Linked DNA regions of Daphnia pulex. The protein of the gene in region 3 binds, or shares a complex with, the protein of the main gene of each other region. Links are inferred from orthologs where the notes say so. Each region holds a gene or a part of one and is shown on either strand. Other genes may lie near its edges.

Region 1 (5,107 bases), on a different chromosome or scaffold from region 3:
CGATTTTATTAAAATACCGTACATTTTTGTTTCTTATTCAAAACAACAATTTAAATTACCTTAACAGGCCATCAAAATTACTTATGATGATTAACTGTTAGTTGCTGACGGTAAAAACGGCAAAACCGGCCCATTACATCATCATGGACGAAACCTGTTTTATGACGGCAAACTTATCCTGCTTTTTCCTAGCTTCTGTCTATGTTGGGAGCCTCTATATTTGGAAATCAAATGAAGATCGGTAGTATAGTCAGTATAATTCTTAGAAAGAAACCATAAATTATTTATTGGCTTACTTTAGAAATCACCCCAAAACGGTGATTCGTAGATTCATCAGTGCATTCTGCATGCTATTTGTAGCTCCAGTGATTGTGTACATCACATTAAAATACATGAAGCCCCAAGTAAGTATTTTTCCTTTAATAACATTCAAAACGTAAATAATGAATTGTGTTTGTAATGATTTTCTTAGGAATCAATTGATCTTCTTACTTTATTGGGGTTAAGGTGGAATGGCTTATTATTAGCCATCTCAGTACCAGTGATTTTGACGAGTGTCCTCTTTTTAGGGCCAATCACCAGTTCATTCTTTGATGGGTCATGGAAAGACTTATTCAGTTGAGTTTTTTTATTTCAAATATTATAAGTAAATAGAATTAAATCAAACTTATCTTAATTATAGGTGCAGAATGCTGGAAAAATAACCTGCATGATATATTGTGGATCCGCAACCAAATTGTTGCACCGATCTCAGAGGAATTTACGTTTCGAGCGTGCATGCTTCCCCAGCTTCTCAAGTGCTATTCAAATTCACAAGCAGTCCTAGTCAGTCCGCTGTTTTTTGGAGTCGGTAAGATTCATAATTATTATGTTATTTTTCCTTTTAGAAATATACAAATATTCTACTTTTAGGGCATTTTCATCATATGGTCGAGCGTTGGCGGCAAGGAATGCCTTTAGCTCAGTCTCTACTACTATCATGTAATAAAACAAATTTATACATTTAGTAAATCAATGAAGGTGAGTTTGTCTAATGCATTTCCGTTATTCTCAGGTTTTCAGTTTGCTTACACCACCCTTTTCGGAATGTACGCCGCATTTTTATTTATTCGAACGGGTAATGTTGCCGCTCCGTGTGTTGCGCACGCATTCTGTAACGTGATGGGTTTCCCCGATTTCGGTGAGATTGGCCGACTGAACGGTTGGAAAAGGATTGTGTTGGCTTCAGCTTTTGTCGTTGGGCTATTGGGGTGGTATTTCCTACTCTGGCCTTTAACAGAACCAACTCTTTATGATAATAATCCTTGAGTATTAAAGTTTTCTCGACGCGTGCTTTTTCTGAGTCATAGAAATATACATTGCTGCTTCAGTTTCTTTTAAAACAGTTATGCATTTATTCATGCTCTTCCAGTCTTCCCGGATCCTGAAAAATTAGAATCAAATTTTTTTTCTACCCTACGCACAAAAGAAATAAAAAGATGTTGTTTTCAATATTCTAATAAAATTTAGTGAATAAACTCTTGACACTATTATAGAATAGGAAAAGGCTCAAATGTTTTAAATAGTTGTATTAATTAGAATCCAGAGGAACACTGTGTACTCCATCCAAGGGCCGCAAGATGCTCCACCCGTGTTTCCTCGTAACAGCGATATACTAGAAATCGAATGTGCGAATAACTTGTACGTATCTTCGTCATGTATGAATCAGGATATTTTTAAATCGATCCTTTTTTCATTGGAAACTCAAATAGGAAACTTTAAACGAGAATGTTTGGTTGCTAAAAGAGATTGTGGGGTGGTAACTGGCACGTTTACGTCGTACCAAGTAATTTGAGACAACATTTTTAGATCTAAACAATAAACTTTGACTTGGCACAGATGTCCGACTATATATAACTATGTGGTTTGTTATGCTTCATTATTTGTCGAATTAAATTGTTCACTAGAATTGTGCTTTTCGCAAAAGGAAGATATTTGGTTTTTGTGTGTGGGTTGACGTATTAATTAATCTTCATCGGAACCGTCGGGAGAGGCGAGTTGATCCCGCCACCAGTCCTGAACCTCAGTAACGGCCGATGCCACGCGAACGGCCAAAGCACTGGGTGGTGCCAACGGCGGAAGCGGATGGCCAGAGCCGCGGCTTGACCAGTTGGAAGAAGCACCGCCACCAATGCTCGAGTACGGGAAGACAAGGCCGTGCTGGCCACCTGTTGTTGGACTAGACAAATTCAAAAAGCCAGTCATTTAAATGTTCACGATTTAAATCAATAAAAATAACGTCTCACCAAGTTGGACTGGCACCAGGACTACACTCGCCCGCCGAGTGCGAAAAACTGGAAGAAGGAATCCCTTTTCCGGTACCTGTTGAATGAAAAAGTATCCCGATTACAGCAATCTATTCACGGGTCCTGTAAACATAAGACTTTAATTACTTTGACGTGATGGCCTCTTCTTCGGATTGGATGAAACGCCCAGCCTTTCCTTGTCGTAGGTGGATCGTTGCTGGGAGATTCCATCGGCGCCGTGGCAAGGAGCGTAAAACAAGCGTCGACCGCTGACGCTGTTGATGCTGTCAGAGCGTGTGACCAGCATACCCTTCCGACGATGTTTGCCACTTCCTTCCGCCTCCTGCAATGCCCAGTTTCAATTTAGTACCGCCAGAATTATGTATATAACGCAATTGATCACACCTTCACTTCAGAAATATCTCTTTCGGCACCTCCAGCGTTGAATTCCCGGTTTTTTTCTTCCTGGGCCTCTTGAAGTTGGTCGTTGGTAGCCCGCAAACCGGCCAATAAGCTATTGTGCTCCTTCTGTAAGATGAACAAATGAATCACTAAATTGCGTAACGTCAGGGGAAGGGAAAGACACCAAAAAAACAACAAAAAAATAGGGGGAGAACAAACGGTGTCGTGAATATTCACAGTCTTCATTCGTTTCAAGCACGAATCCAGCCACTGGCGAATGGTTTGCTTGGCCACTTCTTCTTCGATGATGTACTCAAGCTCTTCACGGGCCAAAAGCTCTTCCAGTTGCAGCGACTTGCGGATGTCCACCGAACGATACGACAGCATGCTACATTAACAATTAAAATATAGCGTTGATTAAATATACGTAACAGAAATAGGTTTCTAATTTGAATTGTTTTACTTCAGAACGTCGTGGAAGGTGACATCTTCTCCGTTGTGTAGTCGTTCTAACTCGAAGCACATGTGCTTGAAAAGGAGCCTAAAAATTAATGTTACAAGTTGAAGTGAAACATTCGTTGTCAAAATTATTTGATGGAATTATATTAAATCGCCTACCGATCCTTTTGAGGATCGACTTCGAGACGGCCTTTGAGTAGACGCAGGACAAATTTGACTTTCCGTACGGGAATAACACCGCGCTGGTTGACGTCCACAATGTTCCACGTATTTTGGAAATTGCGGATGTCGGCGTAGGAGAGAAGGGCGTCCTCTTCGTTGGAATAGAAGAGGGAAAAGTTCTCCATAATAATCGCTAACCCAGAAAAAGAATAGGTTTTAGTTATCGGAGGATGCACTTGGTATATCAAACCCCGTACCGACAAGAAGGTTGAGAACGATGTACGTGATGATAACGTAAAAGGAGCAGAAAAAGATCATGGCAGCCGTGAAATTGCCGCAATCCGTTTCCCAATAATTGGCGCCCGGTGTGCAAAACGGCGGCAACACCATGCAGTCGTGCATGATTTTGTACCAATCCTCTCCCGTCACAATACGGAACAGCATGATGATGCCCCTAGGCGTGCTGCCAAAGTTGGCTTGCCTTTACAGACATAAAAGAAGATGAAATAATTCTCATAAGAATAATAACTTTATGCCAATAATTAATACCTTCCAACACTTTCGCCGTATTTGACCGTACCGAAGAGCAGACAGCCGGTCAGGGCATAAACGAAGATGAGCAAGAACATGCCTGCATTCGACGGAAAGAAATAAACGACATCGGTATAAAATTGTGTGCTAAGAGATGTAGATTGTACGAGGTATTATAGGTACCCATAATAATGAAAAAGCTCTTGTAGACGGAGACGACCACGGTGAGCATCAGCATTTTCAACGTGGCGTGTTTGCCCGTGATGGTGAAGAAGCGCAGGATGATGGCGACGAAACCGAACGAATGGGATAAATCGTTCTAATATGAAAGGAAAAAAAAAAAGATTGAATCAGTAATACTGGGCATAGGAAAGTGAGATGACGCTATTACGCCCATAGTGTAGTTGGTTATTGCCCAGACGAGACCCATGACGGTGACCAAAGTATCGTAGCGATTGCGCCGGGACTGCCAATAGCCGTGAGGAGTGAAAGCGATCATCTTCATCGACACTTCGGCCACAAAAACGAAGCTCAAACAGGAGCTGATAGTGGCCAACAAAGAAGTGTGTGCTTGATCCTCGCGCCACTAGATGAAAAAAAGATAAATCTCAAATTACAACGTAATTTAAAAAGACAATATCGTAGGTATCTACTTACCGAGACGCAGAGGAGGCTACTATTGAGTATGACCATCAAAGCGATGAATCTTTTAAAGTAGATATGCTGAGTGATATCGTAAATAAACGCACGGAATCTGTGGCCTTCCGGGCGTGGCGGAAGATGCAAAGGCTGAGCGATTTTCAATCGTTTCTTCAAGTCACACCTATTACATTGGATCAGATTAGTTTGATAACTACGATTCCGGACACGAATGGTTGAAAAGTTGATTGCAACTTACCAACGTCGCTGATCGACCGTCAAGAGCGCAGTTCCTTTATTCTCGGAATAATTTGCAATGACGACGCCCACGAATAAAGTGAGACCGATCATGCAGCCCAGAAAGACGAAAATGTGGATATAAATAGCGTGGACCTAACAAAAAATAAATTTCAATCAACACCCGCATAATTGAAATTAAAAATTTGAAAAGTACCGGCCCCAGAGTTTTAATGAGAACGTCTCGAATGTCGAGCCAGCCTTTAAATGATAAAACTTCAAATAAGGCCAGCATTGCATTTCCGATACTGTCAAAATTAAAGCGACGTGGATTAGCCCTGCAGACATGAAATAAAGAAACATTTGTCACAATTTATTGTAATTAATACGGA
Region 2 (5,625 bases), on a different chromosome or scaffold from region 3:
GTAACCAAAGCTGTATGTTGCAATGCCCCTAGTAAGAGCCAAGACAACAATCTCACATGACAAACGCACTCCAGAAACTCTCGCGGCCTGTAAAATGATATTCGTCAACACATTTTACAAATAGAATATGTTTTTAAAACAATGGTACCCTTGCTGGATGGAGGATGGCGGGTTCAATAACCAGGGCATGTAACGCTGAAGGCATTTGTTATCCTTGCCATTTCCACGAACGACTTCCAACGCCAAGAGTTGGGCCATTCCGGCTTTGACCGTTCCGCCAAGAGTATCTTCATCCAAACCGGGACCAGGACTCATAGCCCTGCTATTGCTCTTCAATTTGCTAAGCGTATGAACGTCGGCCAAAAAGTCCATAATATCGCTAAAGTGTGGACGGATGCAGTCAAATGCACCCGTGGTGCCAGCGCCTACAGATCCATCCGATCCGGATAACTTGACAGTGTTGGCACCGCAATCCATTTCATCCATTAACAGGCAATGGGGTGGCAAAGTTCCTCCAGCGTCCTAATTAGCAAAGCCAACATATAACTATGAATAAAACAGTTTCAAGTTATTTTTTTACTCACTTGCAAGGTGAAATGCACCAAAATGATCAAGGTAGAATCTGGAAGACTTGATTTTAGTTTCATTACCGACACTAGTTCATCGACGAGCGTCCTTGTCAACATGTACTTCTCCCGATCCTGCAATAGTAAAGTTATCCACTCAATCATTTTCAAGATTTCGTAAAAATTGGGAATCGTAAGTTACCTTGTTGAAGGACCGGAAAGCCAGGTGACAGAGTTCCACGAGATGCTTGTAATCAAAGCCAGCCCAATGTTGAATGATGTAGAGCAGGATCTTGGCGAAAGAATCAAGTATGCTGCCACGAGATGGGGCGAGTTGAAGTGCTGCCACACGGTTTGTGCTGCCCATAATTCTCAAAAGCGAATTGCTGTGAATTGGATTGCCATTCAGCAGCGGTAAGACTAGAATGAGTCGCGTACAGAAGATTTCCAGCTGAGCGAATAGAGGGGTCCAAATCTGGGCACTCAATTCGAGCGGCGGAAGACACTCGATATAGCAGGCCACATTGGGCAACATCATGGCGATCTGGGCTGGCGACAACTGTTTTTGCTCATTCAGTGACTCGAGCAACAACTGGAGCGGTGCCGCCGGAGTCAGTTCAACGAAATCCGTCAACGCCGATGCCATCGTCTTGAAGAAAGACTGCTTCATCTCTTCAGGCACTTGAGTCTGGAATAATTGGATGAAGACCTTGTTTGGTGTGAGCTGATGCAACAGGCACCGGAGAAATTGGCGAGCAATCGCACCAACTTCACCGGGTACGTACAAATTGCTACCCATTTGCCAGGTATATGTCGTACTTCCCGCCCACCTATAAGTTTAAATTTAAAACTTAGCTTCACATCATGTTAATTTCATAGCAAATAAAAATTGAGGTACTTTGCGTTACAGCGGAGAATTTCTGGTAGCATAGTAGCAGCCAAAGCAGGCTCGCGATGAACGAACGTCGATATAATGACGATACATAATCCGAGTTCTTCTTCGCTGAATTCTTCAAATGGTGCGTTGCATTTGGAACAACGGTGACACGCCACTTCGTCACCGACGCGAAGACAGCTCTGTTTCATGGGCGTATGTACTGCGTGATTGACAGGGGCTGGATGAGGTGCTGGGGTTTCAATCTGAGGCTGTTGTTGCTGACGGTTTGATTGTTCGGTGGATAGAAACGGAATTTCGGGACCCATGGTTCCCATAGAGATGCCCATTTTTCTCTGTCGAGTTCTGACTCCCGTAGGTGTCGCTGTGGCTGCTGCGGCGGCGGCAGCGGCGTCCGCTGCATTGACCTGACGGTGCGACACAATTGTATGGGCTTCATAGACACCCGATGGTTGTCGGACACAGGCCGCCAGCGATACTTCTGACGCTGCAGTGGCGGAATTCGGTTCTTGCTGTGACATTTCTGAGAGAACCTATTGATAGAAAAGACCCAATGATTACATAAAGGATGAAACTCGGCGTAGAAAATATTTACCTCGACTTCAGCAAGTGAATCTCGATCCCAATCAGGATCCGGCCGACTACTCTTGGGACTCTCAGGTATAACTTCAAGTTCTATGCCATCAACGTCAGCGTCGATGTCACATTCACTAGAGATACTTCCAGTCAACTCACGTCGGGACGTCAATGTGACGTTAGATTTCTGTAATAGCGGAAAAAGAAATCAGCAAATAATTCGTCATCAACGTATTAGAGATAAGATTTACCGTTGCAACTTGTAGCTGAATTTGATGTTGAATTGTAGAGGAGCCCCAGACCAATCCAGCTATGCCAAGAACAGCTCCTACACCGTGTCCAATGACATTTGCTCTTCCTAAATAAATCAATTTTAAGCATAAACATTTAAAAATCGTTCAGCAAATCGCTGAATCCTTAAATAAAAACCTTTTAGATCTGTTGGATCAATGGGAGTCTCTACTTCCAAAGAGCCTTGACTCTGGTCTCTCATCCTCATAGTTGCAGTTGAAGAGACCCCATGGAGTTGATGCTGCGCTGTCGATGGATGGCCGTGACTTAAAGTGGCCCCAATACCACCGTAGCGATAACAGCGATGGTATTGAGATTCCAGAGTGTTAAGAACGATCCGGATGATGCTCTGTACTAACGGAGCTAAATTCGGTTGGTTATAACGATACTGCAACAATGCAGAAGAAATATTTAATAAAGTTGGCCCAATCTTTTTCATAGTAAATAAACAAACCTTGTAGAGGATTACTAACACTGTTTGTAGCCACATCCGTCGAGGATGAGTTTCCAAATACCATAGGGAATAGGTCGGTTTGTAGGCTCTTTGTGGAGTCGTGCCGTTGTGTCGATCGTTGACGCTAAGTAATTGAAGGAAATTAAATAATTTCAAAATTGATCAAAGGATGGTGAACTTACTTATTCGAAGCTGCTGCAGCAGCTGAGCCGGAAGCGAAACCAACGCTACTCATGGATCCGTGAGTTGTGATGGGCACACCAGCTTGCCCATGACATTGTAACCACGAATTACCTCCAGGACCGTTGTTCTTTGACGGCGGGGCGGGGCAGAAAATCATCAAAGATAACGTCATGGGCAGAAGATTGGCTCCGATAGCTAAATTACGATCCAGAACTTGCGGAAGAGCCGAGAGAAAGGCGTTGAAAGGAGCCGATGCTCTGAGTTTCTGTGGTGTCAAACAGAAAGCTCTTTCGGTGGGTCCGTAGCCCAGCAAAAGACTCAAATGTCGAAGGACCAGGTTCTGAATTTGCGATTGGAACTTATCGTCGCTCAACTGGGCGAGATCTGGCTGCGCCAGGAATTGCATCAGCGTAGTCAACAGTAAAGAGTGGGTTTCACCATCGTAGTCGTCCAGTTCCGAGCAACGTTGCATGAAGAGAGCAACGTAGGCTTCTTCTTGAGACGCTTGTTGATTGTTCATCCTGTCGCCACCGAGAGCGCCCCTGGATCGCATCAACTTCAACTGGGCTGAAGAACTTTGTCGGCTGTAACTCTTGGTCACTCCGTGCTGTGGGTGATGATTGGGTGTAGACTTTCGGCGATTGAAGCGATGAGTTGACAGGCTCAACGACCGCATCAAGCTCCTCGGTTGCTGTTGAGTCGGCGAACTAGACCTGCTAGGAGCGTAGCGCTTGATGGCCTCACGAGCTTTCTGCAATTTCTTGTTGAAGCTTTCGTTTGACATGTGACTGGACTTGAGATCTCGCGGTTCAATCAATTCCCCGGCCCGCTGTAGGCTCAACTGGGCTTCCAAATACAGAGCGTCGAAACGATTGAAAAAGAATTTCCACGAAATGATCTTGCGTTTGGTCAGCCAAGGGTGATGATGCAGGGCCATAATAGAGTGCAACAACAGAGGTCTGTCGCTGATGAAACTGTCAAACTGCTGTTCCATACACCAAACGAGCAGTTTAAGCGATCCATCGTGCAAGCTCTCGAGGAGTATGGTTGCCCGGTTGGCTACAGCCGTGTTGATATCGTCCATTGATGAAATGAGGAAACAAAAGGCGTTGGTCAGGATCGACTGTAAAATGGAACTCTGTTTGACGGTGGGATCGTCCAGAAATTGGCACACCAACATCATCCGCTCCACGGATGAAAAGCGAGTCTTCCAATCGCGCGAGTGGAAATCCGATTCCATAATTTTCCAGAAGACATCCGATCCACCCGGAAGAGTGAGACAGTGCAGCAAGAGAGAGGCACACGTCTGGGCGACGTGCGATGTTTGACTCTCGAGGAGATTCCAGAGCTGGGCCACGGTGAGGTTTTCTTGAACCCAAAACAGGAAGCCTGGATGCTCGCGACAGGCGGATTTACTGAGCACCTCGCAGTGTAGACAAAGGATTTCGACGCAGCGGAGTAGATGTCGCTGAGTGTCCGGTCGGATCAAGTGGTAGAGCTCTTTCAGGAATCCGTAAATGAGTTGGAGGTGATTCGGCAATTCATCCAGCGCAAATCGAAATTTGCCGGCCGTCGTCACCCAATATTGTTGATTCGGCTGTTGATGGTCTGGATGATCCATGTGGTCTGAAGGATCCACGTCCGTCAACATGCTCGGCTGAGCTACTTGGGCTTTGCAGCCGGCCACTTCCATTTCAGTGCAAGTCACAGCATTGGCCACAGCTAAACAAGAAAATCAAGTTACTATATCTTAAAAAATCAAAATGTTTTAAGTTTAAATACCTCTGAGGACTCTTTCTGATGGTAGGATCGGTGCCAGATCTAACTCGGACACGGTCTCCATCTTGGCCGTTCTGACTTCACCCAGTTGTAATACTTGTTGTTGTTGTTCTTGATAATAAACGGTTGATATAGCCTCTTCCGGTTTGTTTGTCTGCTGTTCACCAGGGCTGGGTTGCTGTTGTTGCTGGACTGACTGGGCAGCGGCCATCTCCACGCAATTTTCGAGCTCTTCGAAACACTCACTAACGACGGCCGCGTGCAGTGGCGAGTAGAAAGCAATCAACTCCTGCGCCAGCTGATACCACGATGTCAACAGACTACACATGTAGCAATCAGCCGACGTGCAATTATGCAGCATGCATTGCCGGACGTGAATCATATCTTTTAAAAGCGTGAGGCAATGCTGAGCTAGTGGTGCTCCCGTCAATCCTCCATTACTAGGCTCCTCTTGGACTTCCAGTTGCTCCAGTAAAATGTCTAACATTAGGACGTGACAGGCCAGGCTCTTCTCCGGAAGACTCAGAGGCAACTCGGATGACGAAACACTTTGATTCGATACCGGAGATAACGGTCGAATTTCCTCCATATCTATTCGAATGATAATAAGGGATAATTAGGGTTTTGTGATGCACCTAATAATGTAATGAAATGCGAAACGAACCGAAATTTGGAATTTCGTTGTCGGTATCCAGTTTACTCGTGTTGACTCCCTCCTGGAAAATGTTGACCAGGAGATCGATGGGGACAACAATGTGCAACGAGGAGAGAAGCTGGAGCCAGTTGAGTGTTTGTTGTTGAACACGCAGATGAGTTCCACGGAAGCGGACAGCCAGGAAACGAAACATTTGTTGGGCATCGAATCCCAAAGGGCTCATACT
Region 3 (6,152 bases):
GCAACTGGATTAGATCAAGGGAAATCGGAGCCCGGCGACAAGCCACGTGAAGAATGTCGCCCTGGTCGAAGTAATTGAACTTGTGATTCGTGCCAATGAAATGGTAAAGAGCTTTCTTGAATCGGTGGCCGTCCTCTTGGCTCAACTTGGGCAGCATCTCGGTTAAATTCAGGACAATATCGTACAAGCAAGTGTCCAGCCGGCCCTTGGCAGCTGGCGCTAATTCCCTCCGCATCTCTTGACGATTAACAACGACAGCAAAGTCAAAGGCCGCCATTAGATTATCGAAAGTAAAGTCTTCCAGACCCTGTTGGCTGAGCGGTGGCATTTTGTTTAACCTCTTGAAGCTGTCGTTCATGATGTCCAGTGCTCCGATGATCGAAAAGTTGATATCCCAACAGTCACTCGGCTGTTGTCGGAATGGCTCCAGCATGAGCATCAAAATGTTGACGACCCGGCTGTACTGGCCGGCATCGTAGAACTCGTAAGCGTACGTGTAGAGTCTGTACAGAGTGAAGGAATGGGGCTCCGGAATCAATTGACCCATAATACGCTGGATAGCCCAAATAGCTTGAGTAAAGAGCTGGATGTTGTTGTTGGCGTTGTCGAGTTGCTCCAGTTCTTGCGGAGTTGTTATTTCAAAAGAGAAGCCCATGGCCTTGCGAGAAATGTCGGACGTTTGCGGAAGAATTTTGGGTATTGGCGGCTCGACGCTCGAAGGATGACGTAGATTCATAGCTTCTCTCCAGTACTGCAGTCCACGCCGTCGGGTTGTTTGATTGTTGTTTCTGGGATGTACGAGATCGTGATGAATGTAAGCGGCCCCCAATAGCTCCAAGACATTAATCTTCTCCTGGCTCGGCTGCAAACTCGCGAGGATCTCATTGATTCCGGCTCTTTCGTCGACCAAGTTGAGATGCTGGTACTCGAGCATGTATTTGAAGATGTAAAAATCGGCGCAAATGATGGCCATAAACAATGGCGGGACGTCCAGGTATTCAACGCCGTTCCAGGTAAAGTTACCAATCCGACAGCTGTCGACTTTCAAATCATCCATCAGGTATTGGACGAGAGCAAGGTCCCTGCGTCGGATGGCCACTACGAGAGCCGTTTCTCCGCGTTCATTGTGCGATTCGACCAGCCAGGCTTTGACTTCCGGTTCCACATTGCCGAGCGTGAGTTGCAAGGCAGACAAACATCCGTTTTCCAATGTTTCGAAAAAGACTGCGCGATGCTGAGCAAACGGATCTACTGGTATTGGCTCTTCCGGTGTTGGAGGCAGCTCGAGTGCTGGCGTCGACGAGTGAAACCTCTTGTTTGGAAATGATTCCGGCTCCAGCGATGGTGTTGACAATGATGGAAGATCATCTGCCTGGGAGTTTGGCCAAACTCTACGCCAAATACGCCTCCACCCAGTGGCGAAACGAATCAACATACGTCGCCAAATCGGTCGAATGACACGTCCAACAGTGTCGTAAAAAGCTTCCAACATTTTTATTAGCTTCAAGTAAGTTGTTAAATATCCAAAGATATCGTTATGCAATTCTAATGTCATTCGTGATCCTATTTATGTGCTGCAAATGCATTTCTCACGTTGGCATCGGCGAATTTCCATCATTCATCGATTAGTTACATAATGAAGCTTAGTCTAATTAAAATAATTCCTTTTGAGACGTCTTCGCATGATTTTATCGCATTATTGTCAAAAGGAATAAATAACGTCGGAGCGGATTATTGATTTCTTTTCTTTTGTTTTCAAATCTCAGCGGTGGCCGAGCTGCTCAGATTTTATCGTGAGATTGGAGTTGGTGCGCGTGTCGGCCGATAGGGGGCCAGCAATTCAGTCTTAACTTGGACTGAGCGCCAAGAACTCGATCCGTCAAACATTGGCGAAGTATTTCCTGTGCTCGTGTTCCTGATTTATGGTCGAATGACACATTGAAAAGTTTATTTACTCACTTCCTGATACCTTTCTTTTTATGCTACTCTTTTCTGAACAAACGATCATCGAAAGTTCAGAGCCATCTTTGAGCTCCTTCAGACCTCTCCACCAAAACGTGAAATGTGCTCGTTTCTCGACGTGAAGTTTTCATCTCTGGTCGGGCAGGTAATGGTTATTTTCTTTTTAGATCAACTTGAGTTGAAATCTATTGATTTTTGGCCAGGAAATTCCTTTTCCTGAGGACTTTGGTACAAAGTGAATTAGCCCCACGATGAATCTTGTTTGTGGAAGCAGAATAATGAAGGATTGAACAATAAGGATCAATTAGGTACTGATTAAACATTAATGAGAGATTGCAGAACATGCCATATGCTTTATTTTCATTTGTTGTTGCAGGGGGACACATGCCGGTGGCAGTGCCCATTTCGTCAACATAAATTGCAACTGATGTAGTGTGCATTGTCTGGATGCATTCTGTAAGCCAATAATTTGATCAGCAGAGTCGGCCTATATTCGATTGTTTCGAATTCCGGGACAACTGCTGACCCGTGCTGGCTGGCGGGATCGAGTTTCACCCATCTCGAATTGATCGGGAAACCCTTGGCTGGAGAGAGAAAGAGATGTTGTGTGTAGGACGGTGTGCCCAGGCAGCCAACCAGCAGCAGGGCCCAGCCTAGGAAAAAGAGAACGAGAGAGATAGAGAAGAACTGCCGAGCTTTTGGCTGTAGCTTCCTTTTGAATCCGCTGTCGAACGGCAGCAATAGAGGCGCATGAGCGGAAGATTGCAAGGACGTGATGCTGTAAGTCCTCCTCCTCCTCCTCCACGAGCCGTGTTGTGGTTCGGGAGACGTAAAGGGATCCTGCTTCATCCAAGTCGCATCAAACACCTTCTCTCTCTTTCCCTCTCTGTCACACACTCCCCACACCATTCCTCTCTCATGGATTAACTCAGGTGAGCAGTTCACTTTCAAAAGAATAAAGAAACGAAAGGGGGGGGGGTGACAAATCAACAACAGCACGAACATGTGATTTGTTGCATTCACGCAGATTAGCAGTCACGATCCCAGTCAACCCTCCCATCTCTCTCTCTCTCTGTGTGTCGTGTGTCTGTGAACTGACTTGCTTTTTCTCGTGTCGAGGGGTTTCTCTCGTCGGCTCTTCACACAACTGGCAAGCAAAGCGAAATGTTTTGTTTGTTTATTGATATATGCCGACGACGACGACGTCGTCTATGTGTGTGTGTGTGTTGTTGATTTCCTTCAAACGTGGGGGTGGTGCTGGGCTGGGGGGGCATCTGCATCATCGTCTTGTTTGCTTTTCGAGTGTGTTACATTGATCGCCTCTATATGGTAGTAGAAGTAGTAGGACGAACGACGACGACGACTCTCTTCTGGCGATTTATATTGGATACACCCAGGGGTACCCTAGTACCAATCCAATTTCACTCCTAGTGAGAGAGAGAGAGAGAGCTACGGTCGATCGATAAATTTGTTATCAGTGCAATCTAGTCACGTCAACGAGCTTGTACAATTTGACGATATTTATACCAAGTTTTTTTGGGGGCGTTTTCATTTTATTTTTATTTTTCTTCTTTTTTTCTTTGTGTGTTTGTGTGTGTGTGACGGTGAAATTTTCTGGGGCCCCCTCGATAGTTTCGACGACATTCGTCTGGCTTCCCGACGACGAACTAGGCCATGGATTCCGGCACCAAACAGAAGAAGAAGAATGGAGCTGATCAGCCGGTCTCCGAGGATATCGTCCCTCTACACATCCAGACCTTTCTCTGGAGGCAGACGAGGTACGTACGTACACAAGCACTGTGTATATCCACTATATACTACGAGTACTCTCTTTCTCTTGTCTATTTGAAAATCCTTTTAGAGGCTAGAAAGAAGTTAGATATAGGAGCCGCCGACTATTCTTCATCATTTTCTTTCTAAACCGAATTTTCTCTTTTTCTCTGTCTGTTTTTACAGTTCCTTTCTTCGCCCGAAAATCGGCAAAATGCACGAAGCCAGCTGCATTGTGAGTAATATTGTTTCAACAACTTTTTTGATAATGACACAATGAACCCGGTACTTATAGTCCATCTACACCCGAGCCAAAACTAAAAAAAAAGAAAACAGGAGCCAGGAAAGAGTCTAAACGGGCATATAGGGTCTACTAGTCTATCTACGGAGCGGTGTTTTATGAGGAGTCAAACGACCCAATTGAATTGGAAAGTTTTTCCAGAGTGTAATGGCAAAACGGTGTCACTTGGCAGTCAATCAGCCGCTGGCTGGCTGACTGGGCTGGCCCCCTCTCTCTCTCGTCTTTCTCTCTCTCTTTGCCGGGCTGGCGCGGTCGCCAGGTTCGTTAACGGCCAGTCGATCGAAAGCGATGACGACGGCAGCAATTGATTGTGCGTTTCCCTCCCGTCTCCTTTCCTCATTCAATGCCGCCTCTTTTCCATCCCATCGGAGAAGCTGAGGCGACTTCTTCAAGGAGCTCTCCTCCCTTTTTTTTCTTCCTTCCCTCCTACTCTCCTCTCTCCTCTCTGTGTGTGTCTATCTGGAGGGCATTGTGTGTAGGAGCCGCTCCTCCTTGGCGAAAAGAGGTGGGTAGGGAGAGAGAGAGGAAAGGACAGGAAGGAGAGGCTATTGATTTTCCGTCCGCGGGAGAAAAGAGAAGCTAGGAGCAAGGAAGAAGAGGTCGTCGTCGACGACGACTGGGAGGTGGGTTACCCACCCCACCCCCACAGCACCACCACCCACCCACCCATCTCCTCTATTCCCATCTCGGGAGCCAAAAGAAATGTTTGCCGTTCATCTCTCGCTCAACTCTAGACTAGTACTACTACTAGGACTACAACCAGTGCTCCTACTACTCACTCCTGGCCGGGAGGAAGGGCCATGTCGAGGCCCTACAGCCTTTACACAATATACAAGGAGCTAAGAGCGATGCCAAGTCTCTTTTACTCTTTTTATCTATAGCCAATGACGTTTCAAATGGGTGTGTGTGTTTCTCTCTCTCTACTGCCATATACCCACAGCAAAAAACCATTCACGCTCCAATCGCTCCGCCTGACGTCACCGGTTTCAATTCTATCAAACTTAATCATAATTTGTTTTATTTTTTTCTCTTAAATCCATCAATTTTAATCGACTTCATTCTTTTTCTACAATTCTCTCTGCTCGGTTATTGATTACTATTTTCTCTCGACATTTCATTTGTTCATTTTTTCTATTTCTTTTCTCGTTTTCCGTACGTGAATGTGTGTCCTTATCCTTTTGTACCTGGTTATCCATGGTGACACACAGTTCTGCCAACAGGCGCCAGGCCATCATGTAAGTCATGAGAAATAGCCACCAACAAACGGCTAGTTGTATATAGTAGAGTAGCGTGTAAATCTAGATCTATATTGCGACTGCTGCTGCTGTACATAAAACACAACCAAAATCACAATTTCATCAGCTGCTGACTGTAATACCCCCCGTCCGTCCGTGAGAAAAGAATCAAGTAGCGAGCAGTGCATGTCACTGATTGTCCCCGTTGTTTCTACACAACCCCCAACACCCGCCGTGATTGGGTAGTAGTACCATAGCTGCCGCTACTACACACTAGATATATTGCCCCGTAAATACCGTGTGCTGCTCGTTTATGAGGACTCCTTACCACCACCACCACCACCAGAAAACCCTCTAACCCACCACCGCCAACCCCGCTTGTAGACGTCACCACCCCCACACACAGTCCTGTGTTCGTATAACATCCGCGTTTGCGTGTGCATCAACAGCAGCACGTCAAGTCTTTTTTGTTTTGTTGAGTTTTTTTATTTTGAATCGTCGTTTGACACACATACACACGCTGTCGACTTGTTTATAGTCGACATATTGTTGTGGGACGACACGGTAAAATGGTCTTTTTCATATCGGCAACAGACGACACAAAAAAAGGAGAATTTTTTCACAGCACCGGAAGAATTTCCTCGTTTGATCCATTTTTTATTATTTTTCCTTATTTCTTTCTTTTTCTTTTCGTCTGGTCCTTTATTTTATTTTATTTGTGATTTGTATGAATGTGTGGATGGACGGTTATTTCGTTGCATCCAGCTTGGATGTTGGTCTTGTGTATAATGTTGTCTATTGAGACACGCCTCCACCCTCCCGTCACTTTCTCTCTCATCTCGTCTCGCCATATATGTATGGTTATATCCACCTAATCGCCCTGG

The links. The genes of interacting proteins can lie anywhere in the genome.
Region 1: the proteins of protein unc-80 homolog (region 3) and sodium leak channel non-selective protein-like are in contact, whole or in part, in a cryo-EM structure (PDB 7SX3), measured with the Homo sapiens proteins. The link is inferred for Daphnia pulex from reciprocal best matches to the Homo sapiens genes UNC80 and NALCN. Residues at the interface, in NP_115893.1 of Homo sapiens: Lys1979, Asn2004, Glu2005, Cys2006, Asp2007, Leu2128, Arg2129, Leu2130, Pro2131, Pro2134, Arg2135, Ile2138, Asp2139, Phe2142, Phe2145, Ser2146, Glu2179, Asp2184, Glu2185, Met2187, Leu2188, Asn2191, Asn2194, Ile2198, Leu2199, Glu2202, Ser2226, Leu2227, Ser2228, Gln2231; in NP_001337678.1 of Homo sapiens: Asn639, Met643, Val644, Ile646, Lys648, Leu649, Pro650, Phe653, Val655, Pro656, Lys657, Ile658, Arg659, Glu660, Phe662, Met663, Lys664, Gln665, Phe666, Ile667, Arg669, Val711, Ser713, Arg715, Ala716, Arg717, Leu719, Lys722, Glu723, Ala725.
Region 2: the proteins of protein unc-80 homolog (region 3) and protein unc-79 homolog are in contact, whole or in part, in a cryo-EM structure (PDB 7W7G), measured with the Mus musculus proteins. The link is inferred for Daphnia pulex from reciprocal best matches to the Homo sapiens genes UNC80 and UNC79. Residues at the interface, in NP_780719.2 of Mus musculus: Gln23, Thr24, Trp27, Ser31, Leu34, Arg35, Pro36, Ala80, Pro83, His84, His87, Ser94, Asn95, Asn180, Ala183, Leu187, Phe190, Leu191, Arg337, Leu340, Gln341, Pro342, His343, Arg1317, Asp1320, Glu1321, Asp1324, His1545, Val1546, Asp1547; in XP_030102533.1 of Mus musculus: Thr120, Tyr123, Ser127, Ala130, Thr131, Leu168, Ser169, Ser172, Met175, Ile176, Gln179, Tyr180, Tyr207, Tyr211, Gly212, Pro213, Ser214, Val390, Cys391, Glu394, Glu402, Phe405, Arg472, Cys541, Asp917, Phe920, Ser965, Glu966, Phe967, Ser968.

Annotation. Positions count from the first base shown.
Region 1 is NC_060028.1:1,974,345-1,979,451, reverse strand, and holds the end of sodium leak channel non-selective protein-like, read right to left. Parts: intron 5,054-5,107; coding exon 4,933-5,053; intron 4,872-4,932; coding exon 4,738-4,871; intron 4,663-4,737; coding exon 4,497-4,662; intron 4,426-4,496; coding exon 4,231-4,425; intron 4,159-4,230; coding exon 4,023-4,158; intron 3,940-4,022; coding exon 3,858-3,939; intron 3,790-3,857; coding exon 3,566-3,789; intron 3,502-3,565; coding exon 3,306-3,501; intron 3,229-3,305; coding exon 3,151-3,228; intron 3,076-3,150; coding exon 2,691-3,075; intron 2,629-2,690; coding exon 2,433-2,628; intron 2,362-2,432; coding exon 2,286-2,361; intron 2,219-2,285; coding exon 2,005-2,218; 3' UTR 1,554-2,004; downstream 1-1,553. Other genes in the region: CAAX prenyl protease 2-like, read left to right, coding at 144-241, 302-404, 473-617, 683-850, 913-981, 1,055-1,308. UniProt on the Homo sapiens protein: Voltage-gated ion channel responsible for the resting Na(+) permeability that controls neuronal excitability. NALCN channel functions as a multi-protein complex, which consists at least of NALCN, NALF1, UNC79 and UNC80.
Region 2 is NC_060021.1:6,772,607-6,778,231, forward strand, and holds part of protein unc-79 homolog, read right to left. Parts: coding exon 5,409-5,625; intron 5,336-5,408; coding exon 4,748-5,335; intron 4,688-4,747; coding exon 2,965-4,687; intron 2,907-2,964; coding exon 2,783-2,906; intron 2,717-2,782; coding exon 2,467-2,716; intron 2,396-2,466; coding exon 2,289-2,395; intron 2,225-2,288; coding exon 2,057-2,224; intron 1,995-2,056; coding exon 1,465-1,994; intron 1,397-1,464; coding exon 769-1,396; intron 702-768; coding exon 585-701; intron 523-584; coding exon 149-522; intron 88-148; coding exon 1-87. UniProt on the Homo sapiens protein: Auxiliary subunit of the NALCN sodium channel complex, a voltage-gated ion channel responsible for the resting Na(+) permeability that controls neuronal excitability.
Region 3 is NC_060024.1:13,414,635-13,420,786, reverse strand, and holds the start of protein unc-80 homolog, read left to right. Parts: upstream 1-1,847; 5' UTR 1,848-2,107; intron 2,108-2,165; 5' UTR 2,166-2,270; intron 2,271-2,338; 5' UTR 2,339-2,742; exon of another isoform or gene 2,743-2,894; intron 2,895-3,594; 5' UTR 3,595-3,636; coding exon 3,637-3,740; intron 3,741-3,918; coding exon 3,919-3,967; intron 3,968-5,241; coding exon 5,242-5,268; intron 5,269-6,152. Other genes in the region: protein fem-1 homolog C-like, read right to left, coding at 1-1,492. UniProt on the Homo sapiens protein: Auxiliary subunit of the NALCN sodium channel complex, a voltage-gated ion channel responsible for the resting Na(+) permeability that controls neuronal excitability.